4 linked regions of the Diceros bicornis minor genome follow. The main gene of each other region encodes a partner of the protein of the gene in region 3 in a complex. Links are inferred from orthologs where the notes say so. Each region holds a gene or a part of one and is shown on either strand. Other genes may lie near its edges. The genes, in order: MTA3, CDK2AP2, CHD5 and MTA2.

Region 1 (7,883 bases), on a different chromosome or scaffold from region 3:
ACAGACTGATATAATCCTGAGGTCATTCTCTTCATTTGGTGATGGTCTCAAATACTACAGAAGTTTTTAAAATACAAGGTCCTTGGGGTATCCCCAGAAGCAAACCAAGATCTTAAGGCTCATAAGTGAGGAATGTCCTTGGCCAGACCTGGCTTCCCAGGACTTATAACTGGACCAGTCTCCAGATGGTATTTTGGGGGAAAGGTATTAACTAGACAGCCCCAAACATTTTAACACTATGAATTCTCATAAACTACACAAATAACCCTCAAGGTGGTTTGGAGGAAACCAGAGCGTCATTAGAAATCTATGGTCTTGGGCCAGCCCCGTGGCTTAGCGGTTAAGTGCGCGTGCTCCGCTGCTGGCGGCCCGGGCCCGGATGCCGGGCGCACACCGACGCACCGCTTCTCCGGCCATGCTGAGGCCGCGTCTCACATACAGCAACTAGAGGGATGTGCAACTATGACATACAACTATCTACTGGGGCTTTGGGAAAAAAAAGGAGGATTGGCAATAGATGTTAGCCCAGAGCAGGTCCTCCTCAGCAAAAAGAGGAGGATTGGCATGGATGTTAGCTCAGGGCTGATCTTCTTCACAAAAAAAAAAAAAAAAGAAAGAAATCTATGGTCCATGTCATTTATGACCCTTTTTGAGTGCCTCCATTGTAAAAGCTCAGCTACTGCAAACAGTCACAATGCTTCTAATGTCCCGGACACTTGTGATCAGGGACAAACTTTAATGTAAGAGTTTTATTTACTTGGGCCTAAGGTAGAAGTCATTTTATACTAAACTAAAATTGTATTCTTATTGGTCTAGTCCAGAATTTTACAAATTCCCTTTAATAATATTATATTTCCTAGCTTCCTCCTTCTAAAGCTAGAAGAGGAAAAAATTAATTCACTAAAAAGGGAGAAATACAAATTATGACTCTAAATATAAAAAGGGACTGAGTTACAGGAGTGACTTGCTCTGAGAAGCTCTAAGCAATCTGAAGAAATCTACACGTTAAATAACAACATTTAATATCAGAGGTAATTATAAAAAGCAAAAGAATATTCAGAATTCTGCATAACTCTCTCTAATCTGAAATCTCTACTTTCAAAAAGTCTGGGACAGAAAGTAAAATCACTTCTAATGCCCTTTACCCAATTACCCTTCAATGGAAAACAAATATTTTTTAATATTAGAATCAAGAACACTAAGTGTATACCTTGTTGAGTTCTTCTATCCTTCTGATTAGGTATGGGTTGCTGGAGGAATTCTCAAAGTAGACATAATCTGCAATTTAAGGAAGTAAAGAGCTTAATCTTTTCAACAAAAGTTCACATTTGTCAATCTCTGACTTTTTATATTAGGCAATTCTCATTCAAAATGAAGTATGTAATTCATTCCCTGGTAAAAGCAAACTTAGTAATGCAACCTTAAAATATTCTCCTATGTGCCCACTATTCACAGATTCTGGTTTTCCTGGCATTTTCATTTCAATTAATGTTTTATCAAGTTCTCCTAGACTTTTGTCCCACACATGTCATTTCTTTAACAACAAACAAAAAGACACCTCTTATCATCATTGAGTAGTCAGGGCTGACTAAACATGTGTCTTTCATACTGTAACTGCTTCCACATCTTTTCCATCCAATCCAATTTGCCCTGGAGTATGCTTCTCACATAAAACTACTGACCTAAGACAGACTCAGAGCATCTTGAAAGGCTTAGGAGCCCAAAGTACATTTCAATCACCAACTTCGGAAAAAAAAAAAAAAAATCAGGTGACCAGAGCAGGTAAGAGGAAGCACACTGACAAACTTTTCCACAGCTCTATCTAGGAAGACGAGGGGAAAAAAGGGGGAAAGGGGAGTCACTTTCTGAGAGACAGAGCTCTCTAGAAGTGACATCAGAATCTGTTTAATACTCTTTTACCATATTTAATCCAGATCCATTTGGGGTCTTGTTATAAAGAAATCGCTGCAGATTTTCAACAAAAAGGATAAAAATGTTCAAGTGTAGCTTTTCCTCTCATCTAATAGGCTCACTGGAAACTTCCCACTGTGCATTTGAGAGGCTGGGCTGCATTGTTATTGTCTATCTTAGTGGCTCTTTCCCGTCTCTCTTCTGCAAAGTGGCCTCATTTAGCCAGGCCATTCCCACCACCATCCATCAGGAGCTCAGCTAATGAGCAGAGAAGGAAGAGCAAGTCTCACACACAAACACGCCACTTATCTGAATTATTATTCTACCAAGAAAGAGGGAGGAGGGCGTCCTGACTAGGGAGAAAGTTTGTTTGACCTTATTTCTCTCTTCTGCAGAAGGCTGAGAAGAAGGGAGACAGGAGAGCAAACGTCCAGGCAGAGCTCAACTCCCCACCTCCGGCTGCGGTGCCCCGGCCCCACTAAGCCCCATTCTTGGGGGGCTGGATAAGAAACGGAAGAGAGAGTGAGGAAGGAGAGGTGCAGGGCCCTGTCCTCGCAAACAGGCCTGTCCAGCTGTGCCCCTGGCTGGGCCCCCATCGCCCCCACCCCCACCCCACACTCCCACTGAAGGAGAGGAGTACAAGATGGGGGGATGTCCCCCATCCTCTCCAACCCCCACTGCCTAGAAGCCACGCAGGAAAGACCACCCTATTAGGGGGCTCGACGGCCCCTACCCCCATGGGGCTTTCATGGAGGGGGGCGTCTGATAATTCATACCCCCAAGTACAGGCCTGGCCCTAAATCACTGGGCGGGTGTGGGGGTGTGGGTGGGCCAGGCCCCTTGCGGGCCACGGTGGGGGGAAGGGGGCAGGGGGAGGGGGGAGTGCAGGGTGGCGGGGTGGGGAGCCCCGGCCCCCTCTGCGGGCCCCGGCGCCCCCCCTCCCCTGCGCCCTCAGCCTGGGCGCCGTGGCTCCCTGCGGTTAGGGTGAACTCGCCCCAACCCCCCACTCCCAGAGCCCGCTCCCAGACGGGCCGGGTCGGGCCGAGCCTTCCTACCTCCGACCCGGTACATGTTGGCCGCCATGTCCGCCCGCCCGCCCGCGGAGCCCGAGCCGAGCCCCGCCCGCCGCCGCCGCCTCAGCCTCGGCCGCCGCCGCTGCCGCCGCCGCCGCCGCCTCGCCACGTGGGGGAGGGGAGGGAGGGAACGAGGGGAGGGGGAAGTGGAGGGGAGGGGACGGCGAGGGGTGGGGGCAGGTGCCCGCCCCCAGCGCCGGGCTAGCGAGGCCGAGTGGGCCGGGCCCGGGGAAGTCCGAGCGCTGCGGGGCCAGCAGGGAATTGGGGAGGGGGGCGGTTTGGGGGGCCTTGCTGGAAGGGGGGGATCCTAGGGCAAGGGTCCTGGCCGAAGCGGAGGCCCGCGCTCGGAAATGCGGACCAGGGGTATTAGAGAATTGGGTTGGGGGCAAGAGCTCAGCCTCTCCGGAGCCCCTACCGCCCCACCCAGCGTACCCCGACACCTGCCCACCCCGAGACAGGTCTTTCTCCCTGCTTCTGTCCCTGGGGAGACTCAGTATGTGTGACCTTGAGCACGTGAGTGCCTGTCTCGGTGCAAACACTTGGATGCAAATAAGTGCATGCCGCAGGGCGCCTTCCTCGTGGTGATGTTAATACAGTGGGGCCAGGGGGGCCCCAGGTGCTTCCAGCTTCCCCAGGCAGAGACCCAGCTGGGGAGGAGGCTAGAAAAACTGCCTCCCTTTCAAGTCTACCCTAACTGCAGTGCCATGTCTATCAGCGTTCACCCCAAATGGCTGAACAGAACCCGCTCCCCTACAGCTGGAGGCCTTGCCTCTAGACAGGCCCTATATGCAGTGCAGCCCTACTAGGAAAACGGGGTGGGGGGGGTCTTCCTTTGCCCATAGGGGAACAGAGCCCTACAGTTCATCATCACCACCACCCCCCAAAGGAGAAAATAGTGTCAACCAGCTTGCTGTTGATTGCTGGACAGTTAACTTGGTTATGTGCCCAAAGCTTTTAAATAGTTATTATTTTCCCATGCTAATTCTCTAAACAATCCCTGTTTTCTCAGCCTTCATACCCTCACAGAAATAAAAAACCAAATAGAGTTGAATCTTGGCTGGCTGTCCCCCAAATGAACACAAACAACTTTCTTTAGAGAAGCCAATCCGTTTTAAACTACTCCCAGACGTTGTATACTAAACATGAAGATGATCCCTTATTGTTGTTGTGCGTTGTTTGGAGTTTCTGATGATTTACAACTATGTGTTGTTGACACTGGGTGTGGGGTCTGTGCAGGGATGGCAGGTGTCCCTAGAAAAGAAGATTGTATTTTGTTTGTATGGTGATGGCATTTGTGATGGTCCCTTATCACAAATTATTGAGGTGAAAAAAATAATTTTCTATGAAGCTGAGGCAAAGTACAAAATAAAATAAGAAATAAAGCACCTTTGTTTGAATTACCTTGATTGACTGTGTGTGACCCAAATTTCCTCATCCATAAAATGGGGACACTAATTCCACTTCACAGGTGGGGTGAGGATCAGTTGTGACAATATCTCAAAATGCTTTGTAAACCATTCAGCATAGAGCACTATGCAAATAACAGGTGTCTGTTGCTTTTTTTTTTTTAACTCCAGAAAGTTCAGATTCTCAAGGGTTTTATGTCATGTGTCAAATTGTGAGCCTGCATCAGTTAGCTCTTTTGACCCAGAGAAAAAAGCAAAAATGTTCTGTTATGCACACTGCATAGTTGTTGTTTATCATAATCCTTTTACTAGAGATCCCACCAAAAACATATTGTGACATATCTGACATCACTGTCTCCATTTCTGAGTTGACACATAAGTAGGTTGAATAATTCACCTGGAGTCATCAGTAAACTGGCAGCAGTATTGGGATTATAATTCAGCCCTTTCCTCTGGCCTAGAATTCTTTAAACCAGGAAGCCTTTCTCCAAGTGAAAAAGCCACCTGGATACCATAAACTGCAAAGGAATGGATCATAAGCTTTAAGGGGTTTTCCCATTATTTTTAAATATATGAGCAATTTCTTTATTTCAAAATATTTCTGTATTTCTGTTAGTTCCTTGTCTGCCTGTCTCATTTCCCCAGCTTTGTGCACCTTACTAGGTGTTTGTGATGGCTGTACTAACCACAATAAATAGGCAAAAGGTGCCAAGAAAATGCCCCCCATCCCTACCTACCTCCTCCCCTTAGGAACAGCCTCATCCAGAAGCCCCCCATGAAAGGCCTCAGAGACTTGGTGGGGAGGAGCCAGAGGTAATGATGGTGGCAGAACCTGGGGCGCTTTCTTCCTCTAGATTCTGTGTAGTTAGTTAGCCTCTTCCACCTCCAGCTCCTGGGCCAATGTGTTCTACATAGCAGATGCTCAATATCAGAAAGAATAAGTGCCCATGAATGGTGGGCTCAGTATAGTTAGAGAATCAGGTGCAGAGTTAAATGCAAGGACTTTGTTTATGAAACATTTATACCTTCTAAAACCAAAAGGGTATGGAGGGGCCGGCACCGTGGCTTAGCGGTCAAGTGCACGCGCTCTGCTACTGGCAGCCGGGGTTCGGATCCCGGGTACACACTGACGCACCGCCTCTCCAGCCATGCTGAGGCCGCCGTCCCACATACAGCAACTAGAAGGATGTGCAACTATGACATACAGCTATCTGCTGGGGCTTTGGGGAAAAAAAGGAGGATTGGCAATAGATGTTAGCTCAGAGCCGGTCTTCCTAAGCAAAAAGAGGAGGATTGGCATGGATGTTAGCTCAAGGCTGATCTTCCTCACAAAAAAATAAAATAAAATAAAACCAAAGAGGTATGCACATAAGGGAGTTCAGCAAATGTTTGTAGATTGAAAGAAACCCTCCAATCTGACAAGGGAGGGTAGAAAAGCCTGCACCTTCAAAGAAGGCAAAAGCACCTTCATGTCCTTATGCTGTGTGGTTCAGATCACAAAGTTGTTGTCAACCAGCCCAAACTTCACTCTAATTTGGCTATTTAGCTTTAAGACCATGAGCAAGTTACTTAATCCCTCTGAGCCTCAAATTCTACAAAATATGACTAGTGATTGACACCTACAGCAAAGGCTTGTGCTAATAATTAAATATATAAAGTGTTTGCACATGTTAAAAGCTTCATACTTAATAGGTCTCTTCTCTCTATTCCAGCCATCCTCCTTACTAAGGAAGAAGTGTCTCTCAGACCATGTCAGAAATCAGGGCAAATCTAGCCCTCCCGTGGGTAAAATTTCCTGGGATGGCTCTTGTGATTAAAGAACCATGATTAGAGATTGCCTAAAGACCCAGGACGTTCCCTGTGTCAGTCCCACCAGTGTCCCACCATTTAGCTGAAGGGAAGTAGATGCTGCAAGAGAGCTATTGATAAGATAAAAAGTTGGTTTTGTTTCAATTTCAGGATGGAGTTTTTATACATGCAAAAAAAAAAAAAAAGATGGGGCTGGCCACAGAGTCTGGGAGCTTTGTGATATTGAACTCACAAAAGGAGCCTGGGGGTCTAGAATGTAATTAATCTGAAACCAAATGCCAGGCTTTGGATAAGAGACTATAGCTTGTGTTTTCTGTTTTGTTTCTCTCTCTTTTTCTTCTTTCATTAACTTATTTTGTTATTTAGTAAAATTCTTTTGGAAAAGAGCCACAGCGTGTTTCAGCTATTCTAAGGAGGTCATGGGTTTTAAAGGTGGATGAATGTATCCCAGGAGAAAGGTGGGCACGTGACAGCAAGAATCAAAGCAAGGGAGCCCGTAAGGCAAAGGAAATTAAGAGTCAGGAGTTCGTAACTTCCCCAGTTCATGGAGCTTCTTCTTCCCTCCGTCCCCTGGGCTAAAAACATGAAACCTAGGACCAATCCCAGAATGTCCTGGTTTTTACAGTATGTTTTTTAGGATTCCATGGTCCCCTCATGCCCTCATGCTGGCTCAGCCATTTGGTTGCATCCACAAGGAGTTTCCTTTTCTAGTGACAACATAGCCTCCAGATAGTGGAAAAGGGACTGAAAGTCACAAGGGGGACAGGGATGAACCCCTAGAAGGTTGATCTAATTGACATTAGTGCTTCCCTTTTTAGCCTATGGAGTGCTGTGGATTTGAATGAGATGGCCGGGCAGTATAGGGTTTGGGATTAGGAACAAGAATCCTAAGGGGCAATGGGAGATGTTGAAGGGATGACTCAGGCTGCAGCAAAGAGAGTGATTGGAGAGGGTGGAGAATCCAGGCCAGGAGATCAGTTGGGAGGTTGGTTGAGAGGGATGATGGCTTGACTTGGGTAGAGGCAGTGGGGTGTGAGAGAAGTAAATAGATTTGAGAGAGATTTAGTAGGTAGGAGCGACAGGCTCTGGTGACTTTTGGGAGGCATAGAGTGAAAGGGTAGTACCAAGTTATGAGTAACTGGGTGGAGAGAGGTACAATTCAGTAAGAAGAGAATATGGGAGGGGAGGCAAGCTGGGGGAGGAAGGACAGTTGACAGGTTTAGTGTTAGATGGGTTATGTTCAAGGTGCCTTTGGAAACATCCAGGTAAGTATTTCCTCTTTAGGAAAGAGGTAGATGAACAGGCCTGGAGTTTAGGAGAGACATCTGGGCTAGAAGTACCGTCTTCTGTATTACCATCAGCACAGAGCCCAGCCTGTCTTGTGTAAGAAGTATGCCAAACCCTGGCCCCAGGGGAAGAAGCAGGTTCCCTGAGTCCTTCAGCTTGGGCGAAAACAGGTTTAGCAGGTCTGGGTTCAGGAGATCAGAGTCCAGGTCCAAATGTGCAAACAGGAAGGGCATGGGCAGCGAGCCACACAAGTCACTGACCAAGACAGATGGCAAAGACAAGGGGGAATGCCCAGGGCTGACCATCTCCTAAGAGCCAGGGAGTAAAATTCTCAGCAAGTTCTGCTCCCAGCTCTAGAAAAGCAGCCAGAGTGAGGTGGGGGAGGGAAGAGGAAAAG
Region 2 (6,402 bases), on a different chromosome or scaffold from region 3:
AGGTGCTGGTGGGAGGGCAGCACCAGCGCCCCCTCCCCTCTCTAAGGAGTCAGAGACCGTGTGTATTCAGAGCCTCCCAGGGCTGATTCCAAATTTAGGATGCTGGGGCATTAAGGCACATGAGGACATAGCTTAAGTGAAAAGGCTTTTCCACCCTGCCAGGCATCAAGGCCAATCCAGAGGATCTAGGCCCAGGCTGGTGACAGTGCCCGCCAGCTGTGGAGGCAGCCAAGGCCCTGCACTGCCCCCTGGTGACACCACGTGCAGGCAGGCAGGGCTCTGAGCTACTGGAGCTCAACTCTTTCCACTACTTCCAGCTGGGAAGGCTGAGGGCCAGAGAAGGGCACGGTCCCACCCAAGGTCAATGGACAGCAGGGGCAAGGCTAACTCAGCCAGCCTCACTCCCACCCACTGCACTGCCCCTTCCCCCTCTCCGGGTCTCCTCTTGCCCTCTTTCTTCAAAGCCCACCTGGGCTTAGCAGAAGCACCAGACTCAAGGATTATGAGCTGAGAAAACAACTCCAAATTATCTTTTATTTATACAAAAAGGGGATATTTAGCAAAAGACACACTGAGAAAAGAATCACTATGGCCCAGGAGACAAGGCAGGGAGGTGACAGGCCTTTCGAGGCCCTGCTGGGAGAGAAGGGGTCTAGGAGAAGTGGGGAGTCCTGGGCAAGTGCTGAGTGATGGGGGCCCCAGAAGGGAGAAGGCTCCAGTGGGATCAACACTGTTGGCAGGTCATGGGTGAAACTCACGGTGACCTCGCTGCTAACTCTTGTGGGGGTCCCACTTAGTGCTGCCAACTGGAGTGAGAGCTGCCCCCTGGTTCCTGGAGGACGCCCACCAAGGGACACAGGACAGGAAGCCCAGGATGGGAAGTGCATCTCGGGGTGAAGGCCAGGGAGAAGGAGGCGCTCTGCAGTGGCCGGGAAAGGTCCAGATGCCGAGGTGGAGGTGCGTCCTGTTACGTGCGGGCGTTCCGCTCTGTCTCTGCCAGGCACTCTCTGACTAGGGCCCGGGCATGGATGATGCCTGGGGTGGGGATGCATAAGTAACATCCAGGGTCTTGATCTCCACAGTCCCGCCCCCACCCTCCAAAGGAAGACCCTTCTCTCTGCACCCCCTTTCCTTTCAGTAAGAGGGATGATAATCTAAAGAGGAGCTGGATGAGATTAGAGGTTTGGCTAATCCTCAAACTTGCCCTGTTGAAATACAAATTCCCTGGTCCTTCCCTGGAAATCGACTCAATTTCAATTCAATTCAAAATGCCTCTCTGGAGACTGATACTGGCCCTGGTCTAGGCTTGGCTCTGGTGGCCCCCAGATGTTCTTCCTTTCCTAATGAAGGAGTGTCCAGTGTGAGTCTCCTGGGCAGCGGGGGTGGGCGTGGCCTCACTTACCTCTCTTCAGGCGCTCCATGGCGCTCTTGCTGCCAGCATAGGTGGGCCGGATCTCTTTGCCCATCTCCTCTATGACCGACAGCAGGTCTGTGTAGGTGCTCTGGGAGCCCTGGGCGCCAGGTGGCTTCATTGCCTGTGTCAAAAGAGGAACAGGGCAGTGAGCTCAGGTCCCGAGGGGGCCTCCAGTCCCCATCCACAGGCAGTCCCTCGGCCTCACTCACCTGCACATAGCCCATGGAAGGCGGTCCAAAGTCGTTAAACAGTGGTCTGAAAGGGGCAGCGGCTCCCGGCACCGAGCCCGACGGCGATGGGACACTCCCAGCTGCAACATGCGCGAGTAATTTACGAAGTCAGTGCGGGGCAGGGACACCTCCTCCCAGCGTTCCAAGCCCCCGACCGGACTCGCCCGATTCCCTCCAAAGAGATGCTTCATTCCAGGCTGCTCAACTTCAGGGACAAATCCCTCCCCCCTGCGCTCCACCAACAAGCCCTTACGTGACGACGCCCACTTCCCAGGCCAGCAAACTGAGGCTCAGCGAAGGTAGGCGGCAGGCCCAGTATTGCAGAACTCAGGCCGTCTTCTCTTCCAGACCTCGACCGCCCGGGCAGGCGAGCAGGGGTGGAGCTGGGTCCTCACCTGTAGGAACCGGGGTGCCGGGCCCAGGGGTGCTGGAGCCGGGGGTGCTGCTGGGGGCGGGGGCGATGGGTTTGTAGGACATCCCCAACTCCTGGGTGCGGCGGACGCCGGCCGGCCGCTCCTCCGGGGTTGGCTGCCTGGCCGCTCAGCCGCACTCTGATTGGTAAACCGGCTGCACGCCCCTGGTAAATACAGCTCAGGCCGGAAGGGCGGGCGGCCACGAACGCTCCCTCACTCCCGATTGGCTCACGGAGGTGTCACTCGGGCCTCCTCATTGGCCGAGACCGGCCCCAGCATGCCGCAATCGCTGCTGATTGGTCTCCGCCTTCCGGACCTCGCACCTGTCTGCTCCGGATTGGGCGGTGGCCGACGCCCTCGGCAATTGGCGAGTTCGCGGCCCGGGCCGGCGCGCTCTCAATCCGATTAGTCTCAAGACCCGAGAGGCGGGGCCTCGGCAGCCCGGACCAGGGTCTGGTCCGCCCGGTCCGCGCCGAGAAGGTCTTCCCGGGCGCCGGCGCCACCCTCACGCTTCACTCGCGCTGCTCCGTACGTCAGCTTCGCGCCGCCCGGTCTCGGTCCAGCTGGGGCTGCTGTCGCTGCCGACACAGCCGAGCGCGCCTTCCCTCCGCTCCGGGTGGCGGAGGACGCAGGGCTTTGACGTTCCGAGCCCTGCGCTCCACCCCGTGCGCTTTTACGTCACCTTTCACCGGTGCGACACCCGGTCCCCGATCCGCGCATGCGCTGTCATGAAGCCGTCGTTTGTTCCCATGGCAACGGGACCCTCACCAACGCTACCGCCGCGCCTCTTGCTCCCAATTGCCTTATCCTCATAGGCTGCTGTTAGGTCCAGGGGCGACCTCGAAGACCGCAACCTGCCCCCCCACCACGGCCCCACGCCCGTGCCTCGCAATGACCGTAGCAGGAACAGCTGACCTTCGTTGATTACTGACTGCACGCCGGGCCCTGTACCAAACGGATCATGGACAGGAGCACCGACCGGAGTCGGACTGAGGGTACGAATCTCACACCACCCCCACCAGCGATTTCCTCCTGGACAAGTTACTCATCTCGATGTGCCTCGGTTTCCCCATCTGTAAGATGGGGACGCTAATAACTATCTCACAGGGCTGTTGTGTGGGTTAAATGAATATTCATAAAGGGCTTATTGTTTCATTCTCCTCTTTCCTATCCGTTTCTCCACCCAGACCCCTCCCCTCAAATCTCATTCCTCACAACTCTAGATCTTAGACTCTGCTCCAAACACTAATCCTTTCTCCCAGGCTACTTCTCCCCCAAACCTCTCTAGCCTTGTGTATCCTTCATGCCCCCAGGTCTGTAGATTATCCTCATCCCCAGGACATTTATTCATTCATTCATCCAACAAACATTTTCTGACTCCATCCTCCATCCCAGGCTGGACACTGATGATACCGAAGTGAACTGGCATGGCCTCTGTCCTCAAGGAGCTCCTAGTCTCAAGGAGAGAAAGGCAGGGAAGCAACGGCTTCCCGTACACAGCACAGTAAGACAATGTGGAGACTGGGACAGTGCATTGGAACTCAGACGAAGGGACTCCCTGGTGACATCACAGAAGTGTTCCCAGAGGAGGTGGCCTTCAATAGGTGAATGGACAAACTGTGATATATCCATATAATGGACTATTGTTCGGCAATAAAAGGAAATCATTTATCCAGCCATGAAAAGACACAGATAGGCATATTGCTAAGTGAAAGAAGCCAGTCTGAAAAAGCCCCATACTGTATGATTCCAATTGTATGGCATTCTGGAAAAGGCAAACTTACACAGAAGGTAAACAATTACTGGTTGCCTGGGGTGTAAGGGATAGAATTGAATAGGTGAAGCATAGGAGATTTTCTTTAGGGTGGTGAAACTATTCTGTATGATACTGTAAGGGTGAATACAAGACATAAGCATTTGTCAAAGAGTAAACTTTAATGTTTGCAAATTTAAAAAATCATTTAGGAGGCCAGGGGATCCCAGGATGGAATGCAGACTATGACAAAAGAATCTAGCTGTATTACAAATATATGAAACGGCTTCACTGAAGGGAGTGGAGGAATAAGGTGGGAATCTGGAAGTGGCTGGAGTCTGTAAGAATAAAGACAAAAGGGACTGCACAGAGCACTGTACTCTAGTTGATGAAGTGGCTCCGGTGGGGGTGGGGGTAACAATGCTGAAACCACTGCGCATGTGCACAGGAATTGAAAATTAAGTAAACGTAGGGTGGATGATTTCTCACTGTTGGAATAAGAAGTTACAGGTAAGCAAGGGGAGGAGGCTAGAATGATCCATGTGGTAATGGATTGGAGTTGGAGACATCAATATGAACTCATGTTTAGCTTAATGTAGATACAGTTTGGTTGCATACAGAAATATTTAAAAAGGTATATATACGTAGGTTAGTATATACACATATCTCCTCACTCTATCAGCTGAAAGTCCTAGAAGCAACCTTGCACCCAGATCTTGGTTTCTAATACCATTCTCCAATAAAATGAACTAGAGTTCCTCGGAGAAATGGCTGATTCTAGGACTGGGGCAGGACATATACAAGATGCTCTTGAAGCATCTTGTAGTGCCAAGGGTAAGAAAATGCTAAAGAAAAAAACCTAAAAAAACCCCAAATCCCCAAACCCCCTAGGTGCTGGGGGTATGGCAAAGGGACACAGGAACAACTGCAAGCGCTCCCACTGACCAAGGCTGCAGCAATTTGAACAAAATAAATAAAATAGTGTTGAATTATAACTTGTATAAAATAAATATCTATGAGCCCATGCAGATAAAAATAAATGACTGACTGAATAAATAAATAAATGCGGGAGAAGAGAGAAATCTCCTGCAGGGAATAATTGCAAGTAATTGATGTAGCTACTCTGCCATTAATGAGGATTATAACCTCTCACCCCTTAAGTGTGGGCTGTGCATAGCGACTTCCTTCCGAAGAGTGTAGTATGTAACAGGAGAGAGAGAAAGAGTAATTTTACAGGACAGACCCCTGACAAACACGACCTCAGGCCAGGTGGTCAAGGTCAACATCAATGGCGAGATCATGTTGATAGCATGCACCCTTGATATGACGCGATGAGAAGGGCACTTTACCTCCGTGGTTTTCCTCCCCCAAATCCATAATCCCGGACTAATCATGAGAAAAACATCAGACAAATCCCAGTTGAGGGACATGCTACAAATACCTGACCAGTCCTCCTCAAAACTGTCAGGATCATTAAAAAACAAGGAAAGTCTGAGAAACCATCACAACCAAGAGGAGCCTAAGGACACACGATGCCTAATGTGATGTGGCGTCCTGGGGGGCATTCTGGAACAGAAGAAGGATAAGCAGGGGAAAACTGATGGAATCTGCATAAAATGTGGACTTTAGTTAATAATAGTGTGTCAGTGTTAGTCCGTTAACTGTGACAAATGTACAATTCTAATGTAAGATGTGAACCAGCACGACCATCCAGTGTGTTTTAGACACTGGGAGCATAGCAGCAACAACTGGTCTCATTGAAGCCACTCTCACTTCTCCCTCATGTGATGGTTAATTTTATGTCAACTTGGCTGGGTCACAGAGTGCCCAGACATGTGGTCAAACATCATTCCAGGTGTGTCCGTGAGGGTGTTTCTGGATGAGATTAACATCCACTGAACTGGTGGACAAAGTAAAGCAGATTGCCCTTCCCAGTGTGGGTGGGCCTCATCCAATCAGTTGAAGACCTGAAGGGGATAAAAAGGCTGTGTAAGAGGGAACTTCGCCTGGCTGACTGTTGAGCTGCGACATCAGTCTTCTCCTGCCCTCAGACTGGAACCTATGCCACCAACTTTCCTGGTTCTCAGGTCTTTGGGCTCAGACTGGAACTATATCACCAGCTCTCCTGGGTCTGTAGGTTGCTGACTGCAGATCGTGGGACTGCTCAGCACCCAGAATCACCTGAGCCAATTCCTTACAATAAATATCTTTACACACACACATATACACACAGACACACACACATTCATTGGGTCTGTTTCTCTGGAGAGCCTTGACTAACACACAGGAGAAGCTGGGTGTGGAGTATACAGGAGCTCCCTGTACTATCTTTGAAATGATTCTGTAAACCTAGAACTGTTCTAAAATAAGATAAGTGGATGTAATATGTTGATCTGGGTGACAGTTACCTGGGTGCGTGTACTTGTAAAAATTCATTGAGCTGTGCACTTAAGATTTATACACCTTACTGAATGTATATTATACTCAAACTATTTCAAGTGGACTTAATGTAAAAATCTGAATTTACAGCTTCTCTTGGAAAATCAGAAGATCTTGTAGTTCCAGCCTGCTCCAAATGGCAACAGTCAATGG
Region 3 (7,676 bases):
AGGTGGGAGACGGGGCAGAGTGAAAAGAAAGTCGATTTGACAAGTAACGAGTGCAATCTGCTGCAGATTTAAAAATGAGCACGACAGTTCCCAAACACTAGCTCCTCCGCCCGCAAACTGTGATGGTTTGGAACCTGCTGGCTCTAGGTCCAGTCGGGTCACAGCCTCGAACACAGGCCGAGGGCTGCAGAGCGGCTGCAATGGAGAGCTAGGGGGCCAGCTGGCTAGCACTTCAGGAGAGACACAAGGCCTGGGCTGAGGCTGTCATCGTGTCTGGGGGCCAGTGGTGACCTAGAGACTCCTAGCCCTCAGACACTGAGACCACAACCATCTCCTGAGCACCCACGGTACCATGTGCCAGGCACGGCAGGTGACCAAGGGAGTACACTCGAGGGGGAGCCCATCGACACAGAAGTAGGCTGATGGTAATATTCCAGGTAATAGGAAAGGCTGCCAGGAAAATACAGCATTAAGATGGGTCTGAGGGCGACAGGGGTGGGGCCACCCTTGAGCCAGGAGGTCAAGGAGGGCCTCCCCTTGGTGACATTTGAGCTGGGACCTAAACCACAGGAAGGAGGCAGCTGTGAGCGGAGGAAAGAGCAGGTCAGCAGAGGTCACAGCCAGTGCTCAACGGCAGGATGCTTTGGGGGGTTCTAGAAGCAGCAAGGAGGCCAGTGTGGCTGCAGTAGGTGAACAAGGGGGAGTGGGGATGATGAGGGCGGGACAGAGCAGGAGCTCTGCAGTCAATCAAAGCCATGGGGGTCTGGGTCTGATTTACAAAGGTGACCTGGCTGCTGAGTGGAGGCTGGTCATTGAGGACTGGCTGGGAGCCTCTGGAGTGGACCAGCAGAAGGGGACGGTGGCTTGGACCAGGCACATGGAGAGGAGCTGGGAGCTTGAGAAGGCTCAGATCACACTCTGGAGGTGGAGCATCTGGTCTTGCTGAGGATGGGGCTGCAATCCCTAGGCCAGAGTGGCCGGAGCATGGCCCTCCTCTGCAGGGCTTTGGGGGCATTCCTAGAGGCCCTGGGGACAACCTCACCCCTACCCTGCCCTGCCCCGGAGCAATGGGCACAAGCAGGAGGGAGAGGGAGAATGGGTGGTGAGCAGGTGACTTTGACCAAGACCCAAGCCCTCTGGCCCAAACAGGGTGAGTTGGGGGCCCATCAGCCTGGGGGTACTTTCCCTGGCCTCCTCCCCTCCCCACGCTCCACACCCTGACACCACTAGGGAGAGCCAGAGTATGTGGGAAAGAGGGACAGGAGACCCCATCAGGGGGCCGGTGAAGTTCTGGAATAAGCCTGTGAAGGCATGTCCAGTGCCCCTATCGTGCCACAAAGGGGCCGTGCCCAGAGTACCACTGGAAACCACCTGCTGAGGAAGCAGTGAACGGCTTAGGGAGGAGCCAGCCTCCTGGGTGGAAAATAGCCACGGGTTTCCATGCCTGTGCTGGGCCTCTGTGTTCCCTTCCAGGGAAATGGGCCTGATTCCCTGGATCTGGATATGTAAGAGTCAACTATTGTCCAAGCAACCCCACCCACGTGGGGCCGCCTCAGCCCCACTCCCCTCACCCCAGCAGGAGCTTTGCAAAGTTGAAAAGCAGGGTGTCTGAAAAATGGGGTGAGGCCAGGCTCCTGCAGGGCGGCCATCACAGCCTTAAAGCAAGCAACCAAGTTGAAGGGTGGCGGGGAGGAGGCCCTCCTGGGCCTGGCCTCCTGGAGGGAATCCCCTAGCTGGGAAGACCCAGCAGCCTGGGGAGCTGCTGCCCACTGGGTCCTCTCCTTCTCACCTCCTGCACACAAGAGTTGGGATGCCAATTTGTGGAATATTCTCCCCCCTGTGGAAGGCACTCCTGAGACCAGACAGCACACTTCTGGGCCAGGGAGGGCCCCTGGATCTCCCACAAGTCTCTAAGGAGCCCAGGAGGGCCCACAGATTTGGTGCAGGGAAGCTGAGAAGTAACACAGTCCCCCAGAAGGAGGGAGGGAGGCTGGTTGACAGGGTGAGGCCCTGCCCAGCTGTGCCAGGAAGGGAAACGTCCCAAACAAATGGTGAGCAATTAACTAAAGGATGATCCTGCAAGGTTACCCCTGACACACAAGCCCTGTTTACGCTGAATTCTGAGAGGGATGGCAAGGGCAAGGGCGGTGGCCCTGGGCTCAGACCGATAGCCAAAGCGGAGTAGGCTGGGAACGCCACTACCTTGGTCCGTCTCAGGCTGGAGACGGCGGCGGGCGCTAGGGTGTGCCAGCACGACGCCGGCGGCCCAGGCAAAGTGCTTGGGAGCGGCGGTCACAGCACTCAGCGGCCGGGGAAGGGGAGCGGGAGTCCGAGCCCGCGCACCCCGGCCTGTAGCCCTCGTGGGCCCAAGAGAAACCGCCCCAGCCAGGGCCCTCGCCGGGTCCCCAAGCACGGCCCGTCCTCGCCCTGCTCCGGGCCCCACCCAGCACGCCCTGGAGCCGAGATGGGCCAGGGACCGGGGGCCGGGTCCCGCCTGCCCCCGGAAGGCCAAAGGCGCCCGGCGGTAGGGCCACAGCGCGGGGTGCGCGGCGCCAGAAGCCGAGCGCGATTCCCGCCCCCTTCAAGGGCACGAGGGCTGACCCCGGCGGCGCCGCGCCCCCTCCCCGCCCGGGGCGCCCAGCGCAGGCCCCCCCGCGGTCCTCCGCCCGCGCCTGGCCCGCGCCGCGGCCAGGGTGGCCCCGATCGCACCCCGCCTTTGGCCGCCGGCGTGCCGCGCCCTGGCGCTCGCCTACCCCGCGCCCTTGGCTGCGCGGCGCCAGGAGGGCGGCAGCGCAGCCCGGGCGCCCCCTCCCGAACGCTGCCAGTGCCGCTCGCGCGGTCCGGCCCCGGGGTCCCGCCGGTCCCCGCGCCCCCCGCCGCCCCGGCCCGGCACGCAGCCGGCGCCCCGCTCACCTGACATCTCGTCCTCGTTCTCCATCTCGTCCGCAAACAGCCGCGGCAGCTCCTCCTCGGTGCCCAGCGGGCCCCGCATAGCCGGCGCGGGGGGGAGGGGAGGTGGGCGCCCCCCCTCCCGCCGGGCGCGGTGCCAGCCTTAACCCGTGCGCTGCCTGACGGGCGCGCGCGGCGGGCGAGGCGGCCTCGGCGAGAAGATGGCGGCCGCCTGCCCCCCCACCCCCCCAAACCTCCACCCCTCCGTCTCGACCCCCTTCCTCTCGGCCGCCTTTGCCCTGCTCCCCGCAACGCCCGGGCTGCTCCGCCCACCGCGCCCCGCAGCCCGAGTCCCGCAGCCGGCCGGGGGTGGCGGCGGCAGCGCCGGCGGCACGGCGGGGGGGGCGGCACACATGCCCGGATTGTGACGTCCAGTCTGGTTGCTGTGGCAACCCCATCCCATCGTTCCGGCAGTGCGACTAGTTAACAGCAGAGAACAAGTTGGGGGACTAGTCCTGAGCCGCCGGGTGGAGGGTGGGGGACAGGGCGCTCCGGCCGGCGGAGCCGTCGAGGCGCCGGCGCACCCCGGGACCCGACGGCCGAGCAGGCAGCAGGGACTCGGGCGAGCCGGGCCCAGAAGGAGGCGGGGAAACGCAGAGCCTGCCGCCGCCCCCGCCCGGAAGGCGCTCGGCCCAGGGGTCCCCAAGGGCGCGGAGGCGGGGTCCTCGGGGCGGCGAGCAGCTAGCTCCCCACACTCCGCTCACACGCACCGGGACCCTCGCCTCCCCGCACCCGGCTCCGGTCTGAACACGCTTCTAATCACCTTTCGAAAGAGGATTATAAGAAAAATGTGTTCCGCGCTTGAGGAAGGGCTGCTCTGGAGACAGCGGGTCTGATTCCCCCAGAAAAGTCCGTGCAGACTGGCTCCTCCCTCACCCCTTCGCACCCGGCTCCCACCGCCCACGTGCCCTCTTCCAAAACGCCCCTCCAGGCTGGGTCCAGTTTAAACACATCCAGACCCCTGGGGGTGGTGCAGATCTGCGTTCTCTGTGCCCAAAACTCCCGCTCAGAAGCGACACCTGTCGCGGAGCGGGGAGGAGCCGCCGCCAGCCCTCCGTTGTTAAAGGTGAAGATGGAGCCCAGAGCCCTCGGGAGCGAGCCTGGAATTTTAAATGAGCGCCTCCAGTCTCGGCTGCAGCACGTCTTAAAGCTACTCTTAGAACGCAAAAGTTTCAGCGGCCGGCAGGATAGCCAGCGCACTAACCTAGAATAACCTAGAATGGCCAATAAAGGGAGGGTACCCTCACCTCACTGCCTCCAGCCAGACACATTCAAGGGCAGCGGGCTGATCCCCGCGCTGGAGCACCACGTGGCTGCCAGGGACCCGCAGGATCTGCCTGAGTTGGGACGCCAAGAGGAAGCAAGGGGAAGATCTCCCTCCTGTCTAGCACCAATCCCTCAGGTCTTGGCTGAGCACCTGCCCCATCCAGGTGGCGTTCACCAGTACCCATGCCACACTGGTATCGCCAGAAGGGCTCTCCCTTTCCTGAGGCCTTTGGGGAACCAAAAGAGTCACGCCTGCTTGGCCAGGGCCCTCATGCAAGACCTCTTGGGGAGGTTGCCACAACTCAAGCCACAGTGAGTCCAAGGTAATCAGAAGGTGATGGATGGCCTCAAGAGTGCTGGAAAGATGTGTAGCAAATTTTTCCTCCCCCTTCCCATCCAAATGAATTGCCAGCAAGCCCCCAAAAAAACTCCTCTTCATTCATTGCTGGGCAAGAGCAGGTCTGTCCAGCCTCCAGGATCACAGTGCAGGGCGCTGGGAATCTCCTTCATCTCCTGGATCACTTTTAAACTACATTATAGAGAGATGTTGAACCAGCCCAGGGCAGACAGCCTACAAGGGCAAAGGGAGGCGAACTAAGAAAGCAGAGAGCTTCTCGCGTCTAAGGCTGTACTTCACATCACTGGGCTTCTGGCTGAGGGGCCCCAAATCACCGCCACTCTGAGAGGCCTGCATTTTCACCAGCAAGACTGCCTTGCTCTTTCTGGACTTTCTGTCTTCCAAAATGTCAACCATCCAGGAAAAAACTCTAAGTGCCACCAAGCATGCCCACCTCTCAGTTACCAGCCCAGCCCCCAACCCCTCCCAGATGGGGGGATGAGGTCTAGACACTTGCACAGGTGCCCTGTCCCACTCTAGAGAAACTGTGACTTACAGTACTTCCCATCGCCAGAAAGCCCCCCACCACACGCACACACCATTAACCTTGGCTCCAATTCCCAGGGCAAGGCTAAGAAAGGCAAGACATCACTCAAGAAAGAGCAGTTCCAGCTGCTTAATTTGGCAACAAATTAGAGTTGAGATGCTCATCACTCATACTCCTCTCCCCATCCTTGTTCTTGCCGGTGGCTGTGGCCAGGTGACATGACTTACTGACCACAAACGAAACAAAACCAACCCTGGAATGGCAGAAACAAATGGATTTTTGACTAGAAATTTCCACCAGTATTTAAAGGAGAACTGTTAAACTATTAAATGTGCACTTTAATGACAATGGACCCCCAAATGCCTGATGTTGAAAGCAATCCCTAAAAAGATAAAAATTCAACAAACTCTGCAATTCCGAGAACAAGTCTATCATTAAGGTTAGAGTTTTAGGAGACAAGATTCTCATGCTTGCTGAGCACAGACCTTGTAATTTCACCTCAGTGACAATTCAAAATCAAAATATTTTTAAAAAATATATTGGTTATGAAAGCACCAAGGAAAAAAGGGTTTTCCGAGAACAGGGCTGCAATAGCTGGTATCTTCAGCACATACCCCACTCAACTCCGGAATCTGTCACACAGGCACCCCTTAAGTCCTGCCTGAGGCCGGTTCCTTTAGCAATATATCCCAGTGTGGCCACCTGATGGCCCTGACATGACCCTAGGCTTCTGCAGTGAAGTGCTTGTTCCTACACCCCTCCCAGCCAGTGCCCTGGGGTGAAAACTCTGCAGCCTCTCATCGGAGATGGGGGAGACTGTCACTCGCATGGTTGCAGGGTCCTCTGAAATGAAGGGTGAGCGCCCCCTGCCCACCAAGACCTCCCTTGTACTTGAAGCCTGTTTCTCAAAGCAAGGGCCATGCCCCACCTGAATCCAAATCTCTTCCGGTTGCTGGGAATGGGGGGAGGGGCTTCTCAAAAAGGCAGACTCCTGGCCATGGCCCTGAAGCGAAGTACTTGACTTCAATTAAAGCATCTTAGAGGTTCTTTCTGGGAACTGTGGTAGCAGCTAACTCACTCAGCTGGTCAGCGCAGCCTTAACAGTTTTAGGAAGGCCTGAAATAGCCTAGAAAAAAGAATGTGGATTCTCAAATCCTCCCAAATATAGGAAAGATAGGAAAATGTCTGGATTACAAATTCTTAATTTTTCTTCCCTGAGATAAACACCATTATGGCATCATTTAAGAGGCAGCCCTCCACCTGCCTCCTTCCACACCACCTCCTTGCTAAGATGGCAAATCCCCCAAACAGGCCTCTTTCCTACCTTCCTCTCCCTCCAGAAAGAGAAGTGACCTCCACAGCGTATTACCGCAAAGAACAGAGGCCCATTACCGGGATTCAGCCAACACCTCCAGCAGGAGACTACCCAGGTCCTTTTCCCTCGGGGTGGCTTCTGACCCCTGCCAGCCCCGTGTTCTGAGTTTATCGAAAGGCAGGTCTGTCTGCTTGGTCCTGCCAAATCTGTGGTTGTCTCGTCAGGACCCCACATCCTAGGTGTGTGTGCCCCTCACAGGGAGGGGCCAAGCACCGGTCTGCTTCCAGCACTCGATAAGGTGGCGGGGGTCACCAGAAGTCACAAGGACCTGGCAGCAAGAGGAAGGAAATGAAAGCAAGCTGCCAAAGCCAACTTGCAGGCTCTCCTGAGGCTACGAGCGACTTGACCAAGGACCCGTCACCGCTCACTGGGGTCCTGCTCACCCTCCAAGAAATCATGTCCCCTAAAAAGGCTGAGGTCTAAATACCCCAGAACATTCTGTAATTTTGACCCTCTTAAATATTTGATATGATTAAACTCCGCCACTTTCCTCCGTTTCTGACACAAATGTTTCTCAACACCTGTGCTAGGCACCACTGGTGAACAGTTAGGACCTCTTCCTGAAGAGCTAAGAGGATGACATGACTTAGAAAAGAGCACAGTTTCACCCCTGAAAAAGCCATGGGAGAAAGGGGTCGCTGAGGCTTTAAGGAAAAAAAACAAATATTTAGTCTTCCGACAGAGATGGTATGGATCAAGCCAAGGGAGAGATGGTGTTGGTAACCAGAGCCAGCTGAAAACGAGACTGTACCAACTGCCTATTTCACTTTTATGAACTTAAATCTCAGCTTGAAACTCTCCATGACCCAATCCGGTCCTGTGCCTTGAATATTTCAGATCTGGCAGGTGGGCCACGAGGCAAGACAGATAAAAATGAAATTGGTCTAAAATGGGGTTCAAGCACAGCTGGTGTAATGGGTTTAACGGGACTCAGGTTCACATGACACATCCCCCATCACAAAAAGTCATTTGTTTGCAAAGTTATCCTCCTGGCTCTGAATCTGAAGAAATTCTACATGGAGAGCTCAGTTACAGTCAACTCCAGAATCTCACTGAGGCACAGCAGCACAACTAAGGTGAAAAAATGGGAACAAAGGACACATTTTTTTCTCAAGCTTAATGAAAACCAAGGTCATTGTCGGTACAGCAATTAATCAGTGAGGACAAAATTTTTGTTGCTGAACAGATTAACATGCCAATGC
Region 4 (7,261 bases), on a different chromosome or scaffold from region 3:
CACTTGTCTCTTTCTTGCCAAACCAGCCTGAGGTCCAGAAAGTCAATAAGATGACAAAATATCACACAAGGTTGTGTTTACCAGTTCCTTTTTTCAGATTTCAGGAGACTCTTTGCTCTTAAACATCACATGCAATCCTAACTATCCCTCACTTTTTATTTGGCTAATAATAGTTTGTGTGGGGGGCTTTCAAGGATAGTACCTCTCAAGCCAGTGCCAACACCTTCCTCCCCAAGGAGCTGCAGCTTGCCCTGAAACCTCAGTGCAAAGGGTTAACCTGGCTGGGCGCCAACCAAAGTGGGAGGGGGCAGAAGAGCCACAGGCCAAGGCTCATTGGTGCATTGTTCCCAACCTCAGGGAGAAGGGGGGTGTGCAGCAGGCTCCACCCCTCACTGTATGCTCCGGAAACCATGTACGAAAGCAAGGGGGACCACACCCCCCACACCCCTTCTGATTGGACAAGGCCAAGGTCAGCCCCTGCCAGATGAGGCTGGAAACCCCAGAGGGCCAGAGAACTTGGTAGGCCCAGCTCCTCATTAACCCCTTCATGCCCAAAGCAGCCTGAAATAAGGAAAATAATTTAGGAAGAAGGAACAAGAGGAAGGGGAAAGAAAAAAGAAACTAAGGAAAACTGAAGGAAATAAATTTTTTAAAAGAACATGAAAGCATAATGAGAAGAAAGATTGGGCAAAGGGAAAACATAAAGATGTAAAATGGAGTAGAAGGGAAAACAGGAGAGATGAGAAACAGGAAAAAGTGCAAGAAAACTTTCCTAGCTTCCTCTTCTCTGCCTTCAATGCATTCTCACTATCTCGTGATCACAAAATAAGCCTGCTTTCCTGTAAAGCAGGCTTCTAGGTACAATCTCTTCCTCTTCACCTTGACCTTCAGTCACCACCCATTGTTCCAACACACCCAAAACTGTCCCCCAAGGGTCCTTCTTCTCTAAAGCTCTTCCTCATCCCCTATTTAAATACTATCATCTCCTTTACACACACCATTCATATATACACACTCACATACAAGCCATATTCTGGCTTTTCTTATCATGGTCTCTCCACTCTGCTTCCAACCCCAACGTGTAAAAACAAGCCTCCCTCCAGGCCTCCCTCCACAGCCCAGGCATTTCCCACCCCCAAACTCACACCCCTGCCTTGGGCATTCTACCAGGGGAAACACCTGCGGGGACATGCCCTGGCCTCAGATCACGGGGAGGGGGAGAAAGGGGGGCCGGGATGGGGTGGGGGTACCAAGACACTCACTGGCATTACTATCAGCCAGGCTGTTGAGGCTACTAGAAATGTCTCTTCGCCGGAAAAGGCACACAACCTTTGCCTCCACATTTCCATTTGCAGTCTAAGGGGGAAAAATGGCAGTGAAAACTGGTCATTTGAAAGTGAAAAGGCACAAAGAGACTAACAACAGTGAATAAGTTTCTAAGGGATGTAAGTAGGAAAACACAAGAAATTATGAATAAGGAGACTTAGATTTAAGGACAGACTTCCATATCCCTTTCCTTAGGCCCCAAGAAATAGAAAAGTAAAGTTCCCACTAAGCTCTCAATAGCCTTTCCTGAATACATCGAATGAATGAATGAATGAATGAATATGAATGGGTACTTAGAATAGGGTCCTCTTTCTTTCTCTCTGTCTCTCTTCCACCCACAGTTAGAGACCTCAGAAGAAAGAGACCACTTGCGGGGGAGGATGAGACTGCTCCACTCACCTTGTTGAGCTCCTCAATCCGTCTAACCAGGTAAGGATTGCTGGAGGAGTTCTCAAAATAGACGTAATCTGTAGGAGGGGGTGGGGAAGAACCGGGAAGATCAGAGGAGGAGATGGGAGAGCCAGAGCACCAGGGGAGGAGGAGAGAAAGTAGGCCTGAGTGGACCAAAAGGCGATGAGAGTCCAGGTAGAGAGGGCGCTGAAATGTGGAAGTGGAGAGTCTAATAAGCGACGCCAGCCCCCGACGCCTAGCCACCTAGTTCTAAAATCAGATCCTTCACTCAAAAATGAGCCTTAATGAACAGACCAGAAGCAGAGGGTTCCCCCTGCAGTCCCCACAACTCGGAGATCGAGTTGCACCCCAGTCTCGGCGAAGCGAGCAATTGTTCCCTCTCGCTCAGCGCCCCCACCTTTGCGACCGAGGCGCACAATAACGCCTGGGGAGAGGAAACCGCCCGGCGGCTCCCCCGCAGGTGGCAGAGCGGTCGCCGGCCCTTCGCGCCCCCTGCCCGCGCTGTCAGCTCCCTCGGAAACACCTTCCCAGCCCCACTCCCCGACCCCGTGGCCCCAGGCGCGGCCCCGCGAGTACCGTCGGGGCGGCCCCAGCCTCTCCGCGAGTCTCGGCGCCCGGCCGCGGCGCCGTCCCCGCACCCTCGCTCCCCGCGCTCCCGGTTCCGGTTCCGGTCCGCGCTCGGGACCACGCCGCCCCAGACGCGGCTCCCGCGCCGCTGGGTGCCGAGCCTCCCCGGTCCCGACCCCGACCTCTCCCGTCCGGGCCCCGCAGCCCCTGCGCCCGGTACTCACCCCCCACCCGGTACATGTTGGCCGCCATGGCCGTTCCCGCCGCCGCCTCCGGCCGCACAAAGGGGTCTGAGCGGCTCGCGGGGACGGGGCTCGGCTGGAGGCGAAGTCCCGACCGCGGGGCTGGCACTTCGCGGAAGTCTCGGTCGGGTCCGCGCAGCCGGCACCTCCGCCGCCTCAGCCGTCGCGGTTCATCCCGGCCCGCGCTGTCGCCGCCGCCGCTACCGCCTCACGCCCCAGACGCCGAGGCCGGCGCCGGTCCGCTCGGCTTCTTCCGGAACGAGCTCGGCTCCCGCCGGACCGGAGCCAGGCTCCGGCTCCCCCCGCCCCCGCCAAGCCCCACCAGACGCTGGGCTCTGCCAGCCCCGGGGAACGCTTGCCCTGCCCGCCTCGGGGTTCGCCTCCTTCCGGAACACTTTCGGCCGAGCCGGAGAACAAGGCCGGGCGCTCGGCTCAGGTCGGAGAGCGAGACCCCACAGATCGGCTACTTCCGGAAGAGGTTCGGCTCCGTCCGGCCAACGGCGGCCCGGCGCTCGGTTATTTCCGTTGCAACTCGGCCCCCCCTCCGAGAGCGAGAGAGGAGTTGGGCTTAACTCTCTCCTCGCCGGAGCCCTGCAGCTCCGCCTGCGGCCCGAAAGACTCGCGCGCCTTTGCGGTTCGCCAAGCTATTTGCAAGCAGCTTTGCCTGTTATTTGCATGAATAGTCTACGCTCTCTTACCCTTTCCGCACTACCCTTTTCCTTCACCGCCACCCCCGTAGGGCCCCAGAGGCGCCCAGCCGCGCCCCACAAAAGGACTGGGAGGTGACTTTGCTTTTGGTTTATTGCCCCTCAGCAGGCGGCGGGAGCCAGGGCCCAGGCTGGGGCTGCCCGGCTCAGCCAGCGGGTCTATACAGTGTGTGCAGGAGTGCCGTTCTCCCCCTCCAGGGAAATGCGCGATCGGGAATGTCTCGAAGTCGAGGAAAGGGTCGGCCCCTGGTCCTGGGGTACTGGGGTGGGGCGGGGCCACGTCGCAGGGCCGGTGGGTCCCGTCAGGCGGCGGTCACACGTCGAGAGAGGAGGCGGGGGACAGGGACGGGGTTCGAGAAGGGGTGGCGGGCGTCGGCCCCGCGCCCCCGGCGCCCAGCACCCGCCACTGGAAGATGCTGGCGTCCTTGCCGCCCAGGGAGACGAGGTGCGAGTCGTCGTGCGTGAACCGGACGCTAGTCACGTGGCTGCCGTGGCCGCCGTACACGAGGCTTGGCGCCTGGGCAGGAGGGAAGGTGGAGTTGCGACGGCCACGGAGCCCCGGGCCCGCCCGCCCGGCCCCGGAGGCCCCGGGAGGCCTCACCTTGGCGCGCGCGCACGGGTATTGGAAGAGGTGCACTTTGCAGAAGTCGTCGGCCACGGCCACCACGCGCTCGTTGTGGGAGCGGCACAGGGAGTTGATGTCGGTGCCATCCGAGCCGTCCGGCCACACGCCTAGCACAGCGCCTTGCCTCAGCCCGGCCTCCTCTCCGCCGCCACCCACGGCCCACAGCTGCACCGTTTCCGGCGCTCAGGCAGCCGCGGGGCCACCCACCGGCCGCGTTTCAGGCAATCCTTCCCGGTTCCTCGGGGCCGGAGGGGCCTCCTGGGCTGGCTCTGCCAGTTTCTCAACCCCCACCCACCCCTCCACACACACCCAGCATTCCGAGCCTGGGGCGCGCTGCACATTGTCCCCCCGCCGTCCCGCAGTGTTCCGCGCCCCTGCACCCCTGCTCACCGTATACGTGGAAGCCCAGCACGCAGGTGTAGGTAGCCCACTCCCGGTCTCGGCTCTCATAGCGATTCCTCAGCAGCTTGCAGCCTCCAGCCACGTCCCCTGGGGAGAGGGAGCCCACCCAGCTGAGCTCTCATCCTGCCCTCAGTTGGGAAGATGCCCAGAAGGAAACACTGGCTTGAGGCGGTGGCATGTGATCTGGTCGCCACGGTAGCCCCCAGCCCAGGGCAAAACCCAGCCCCCCCACGTGCTTCCTGAGTTCTCGCTGATGTTTTCCTAACAGCTTCTGTCAGTTCCTCGTCCATAGATAAGTCAATCCCTCCACACCTGCCCTGAGCAACTTTTCCAAAACAATCTTTTTAGTGCATTTTTCAACTCCCTCAAGTCTTTGTGGGAACAAGACATGGTGTAAACTCTATGTGTGGTTTTTTCTCCAAATCACAAAATTTCTCCTATGTGTATACCTCCAACCCCCCTTCAATGCCATCTCCACCTCCCTATGTAACAGCCCCTCCACCTGGGGCTCCCCACATATTCTCCTTCATCCCCTCCCAACCAGGAGCCCCACACACACACAAATAAAACCCACCCTAATTACCCTCTCCCCATGCCCTCCCCTACTGCCACTCACAGTAAAGGATCTCATAGTCCCCAGAATTGGACATGATGAAATTCCCATCCTTGGACCAGTCAAGGTGAGTGATGAAGCTGGAGTGACCCTGGGAGCAAGGGTCAAGAGACTAAAAGTGTAGCCACCATTTCCCATCCCTCGGCCCCACTTAATGCATTTGACCCCTTTGAGGAGTTTACCTGCTATGGCAATGCCCCACCCTCCACCCCAGCCTCCTCACCACACAGCGGCCAAAGCGGCTGGACTTGGCACCATCACTGGAAACACTATAGATGTAGATCATGTTGTCATGGGAACCGATGGCCAGGTACAACCCATCTACAAAGACAGTCACTCAGAGAGGGAAGGACCAGGGATGGGTCTGGATCCAGGGTAGGGGTGGCTCCCACCTGGGCTGTACCGGACCACTGAGAGCTGCTCATTGCCATCGGTGACATCGGACACGATCTCTCTGGTTTCCGTGTCCAAAACCAGCCACCTAGAAGGGGGGGGGGCGGAGAGCAGGTGTGAGGATACCCGTCCTGGGCAGGGTGGGAGTTGGCAAGTTGGAGAGCCTCAGGGACACCCACAGAAACACCATGATGTAGACAGAGAGGTCACCACTGCATTCTTATGCTGAGAAATGGGAGGGGGCTAAGGGCAGATAAAAGCTGAGGGGCTTCTGATGTCCTCTGGGAAAGGAGTACAGGGGCCCAATGACAAAGTCCTTATGGAGTCTATACGCCTGTCACTTCCCTGTAAGCCTGTTAGTCTCCCCTATGCCCCTCCCATCCCCACTGCTTCTCTATCCTGAGCTGCCACCTCCTCCACTCCCAGGCTTGGAGAGGAGAGTGGCTGGGGGAGGGTGTGATGACAGTTGCCACAGGAGAGCAGGGGAGGCCTGGGCGGCACCGAGAAGCACTGAGGAGCAGGAAGGTGCAGTTGGGGCTCCTGAGCGGGCAGCAATCACGCTCCTCCACCCCGCCATTACCAGGAACCCTTCCCATACCTCCTGCTTTCCCCTCCCAGGGGTCCTGGCTCCCTCTCACCTCCCCGTGTTCAGTCCTACAGCCACAACTGCCCCACTGGGATGGAAGTCAGCACAGAGACCAGTCTCCTGGGAGAGGGGAGAAGGTGAATTCAATAAGATGCCTTTCTAGTGAGGTAACCAAGAGGGACACCTTGTCATCTTGGTAACGTCGAAGCCTCCTCCTCCCAAAGAGGAAACGGGAGGAGAGGGCGAGTAGACCTGGGGTGGAAGCAGGGTGTCAGTGGAGCCTAAACAGGGGGTAATACTCAAAATATTTAACAACCAGAACTGAGGCCCGTAGCTGTGCTGGAGATTACCCATTTGTTGCTGGATCAAGGGGTGGTCTGGAGGGTTGAGGTGGGGGCAGTGCCCAGGGGGCACTGGAGGCATCAGCAAAGAATGAATGTTTTAGCCAGTACAGCCATACCACTACAAACTGGCTGCCTCTGGAGAGCAGAAGGTAAGGGGATGTTGGGGAAGGACTGGTGGCCACAGGAGTCATGGTGGGTGTGGCATTGGGGATCCAGGGACACAGGGCTCTACCTTGAGGTCAATGCTCCAGGCCAGCGCATGGCCCTCCCCATCCCACAGGCAGAGCTGCCGGTCATGGCCGCAGGTAAGGAAACGGTTCTGGAAGGGATGTGTGCAGAGCCCCCAGAGCTCATCCGTGTGGCCCTGTAGCAAAGCGTGGGCTGTCACCTCTGCCCCTCCTCAACAGCTCTACCCTCCCTCCTTCCCCGAGCCCTTGGCCCCCCGACCTGGATCACAGGGGAGAAGCCCTGGGCCAGATCTCCCCTCAGCAACGCATTCTTCGTGGTTCCCACCAGCAGCTCAGAGCCCAGCCCCTCAGCAATGGCCCGCACGGCCCCAAAGTGTTCAGGAATCTGCAGAGTGGTGGCAGAAATTCAGGCCCACTGGCCATTCCTCTTCCCCTTCCCTCCCTTGAACCCAGCCTAGCCCTCACCTCAGCCTCCTGGAGGGCCACCAACCCGGGCCCCCACTGTACCAGCCGGCGGTCCCGCCCACCACCACTCAGCACCGTCCCGTCCCGCCGGAGACACAGGGCGAAGATGGAACCTTCGTGAGCATGGGCCTGAGCCACAATCCCGTAGGTCTCTGTTGGCAAAGTCCTGGGTGGGTTATGCTCTTGGGGTGCAGGGAAGTGGGGAAGAGGAGCAGCCTAGGCTGTCACAATAGAGTAATAACTCCCAGCTCTTGAGTGCCTACTGAATACTGTCTCTGATCCTCAGCCTTTATTCTCCCGTTTACAGACTAGACAACTGAGGCTCAAAGAAGTGAGGTAACTTCCTAAAGGCCAGACAACCAGCGGCAAAACTAGGATATGAACCCAGGATC

What was found.
Region 1: CHD5 (region 3) and MTA3 share a complex: the UniProt entries of both Homo sapiens proteins name them as parts of the nucleosome remodeling and deacetylase (NuRD) repressor complex. The link is inferred for Diceros bicornis minor from reciprocal best matches to the Homo sapiens genes CHD5 and MTA3.
Region 2: CHD5 (region 3) and CDK2AP2 share a complex: the UniProt entries of both Homo sapiens proteins name them as parts of the nucleosome remodeling and deacetylase (NuRD) repressor complex. The link is inferred for Diceros bicornis minor from reciprocal best matches to the Homo sapiens genes CHD5 and CDK2AP2.
Region 4: CHD5 (region 3) and MTA2 share a complex: the UniProt entries of both Homo sapiens proteins name them as parts of the nucleosome remodeling and deacetylase (NuRD) repressor complex. The link is inferred for Diceros bicornis minor from reciprocal best matches to the Homo sapiens genes CHD5 and MTA2.

The regions. Positions count from the first base shown.
Region 1 is NC_080751.1:42,198,896-42,206,778, forward strand, and holds the start of MTA3 (metastasis-associated protein MTA3), read right to left. Parts: upstream 3,020-7,883; 5' UTR 2,995-3,019; coding exon 2,967-2,994; intron 1,747-2,966; exon of another isoform or gene 1,732-1,746; coding exon of another isoform or gene 1,683-1,731; intron 1,279-1,682; coding exon 1,211-1,278; intron 1-1,210. UniProt on the Homo sapiens protein: Acts as a component of the histone deacetylase NuRD complex which participates in the remodeling of chromatin.
Region 2 is NC_080770.1:6,041,528-6,047,929, reverse strand, and holds CDK2AP2 (cyclin-dependent kinase 2-associated protein 2), read right to left. Parts: upstream 2,491-6,402; 5' UTR 2,122-2,490; coding exon 2,040-2,121; intron 2,034-2,039; exon of another isoform or gene 1,898-2,033; intron 1,725-1,897; coding exon 1,624-1,724; intron 1,536-1,623; coding exon 1,403-1,535; intron 1,036-1,402; coding exon 968-1,035; 3' UTR 516-967; downstream 1-515. UniProt on the Homo sapiens protein: Acts as a component of the histone deacetylase NuRD complex which participates in the remodeling of chromatin.
Region 3 is NC_080752.1:26,264,524-26,272,199, forward strand, and holds the start of CHD5 (chromodomain-helicase-DNA-binding protein 5), read right to left. Parts: upstream 3,014-7,676; 5' UTR 2,993-3,013; coding exon 2,914-2,992; intron 1-2,913. UniProt on the Homo sapiens protein: ATP-dependent chromatin-remodeling factor that binds DNA through histones and regulates gene transcription. May specifically recognize and bind trimethylated 'Lys-27' (H3K27me3) and non-methylated 'Lys-4' of histone H3.
Region 4 is NC_080770.1:10,491,549-10,498,809, reverse strand, and holds the start of MTA2 (metastasis-associated protein MTA2), read right to left. Parts: upstream 3,006-7,261; 5' UTR 2,557-3,005; coding exon 2,529-2,556; intron 1,794-2,528; coding exon 1,726-1,793; intron 1,357-1,725; coding exon 1,263-1,356; intron 1-1,262. Other genes in the region: EML3 (echinoderm microtubule-associated protein-like 3), read right to left, coding at 3,567-3,770, 3,855-3,985, 4,269-4,367, 4,897-4,984, 5,117-5,214, 5,286-5,374, 5,925-5,992, 6,449-6,580 and 2 more. UniProt on the Homo sapiens protein: May function as a transcriptional coregulator. Acts as a component of the histone deacetylase NuRD complex which participates in the remodeling of chromatin.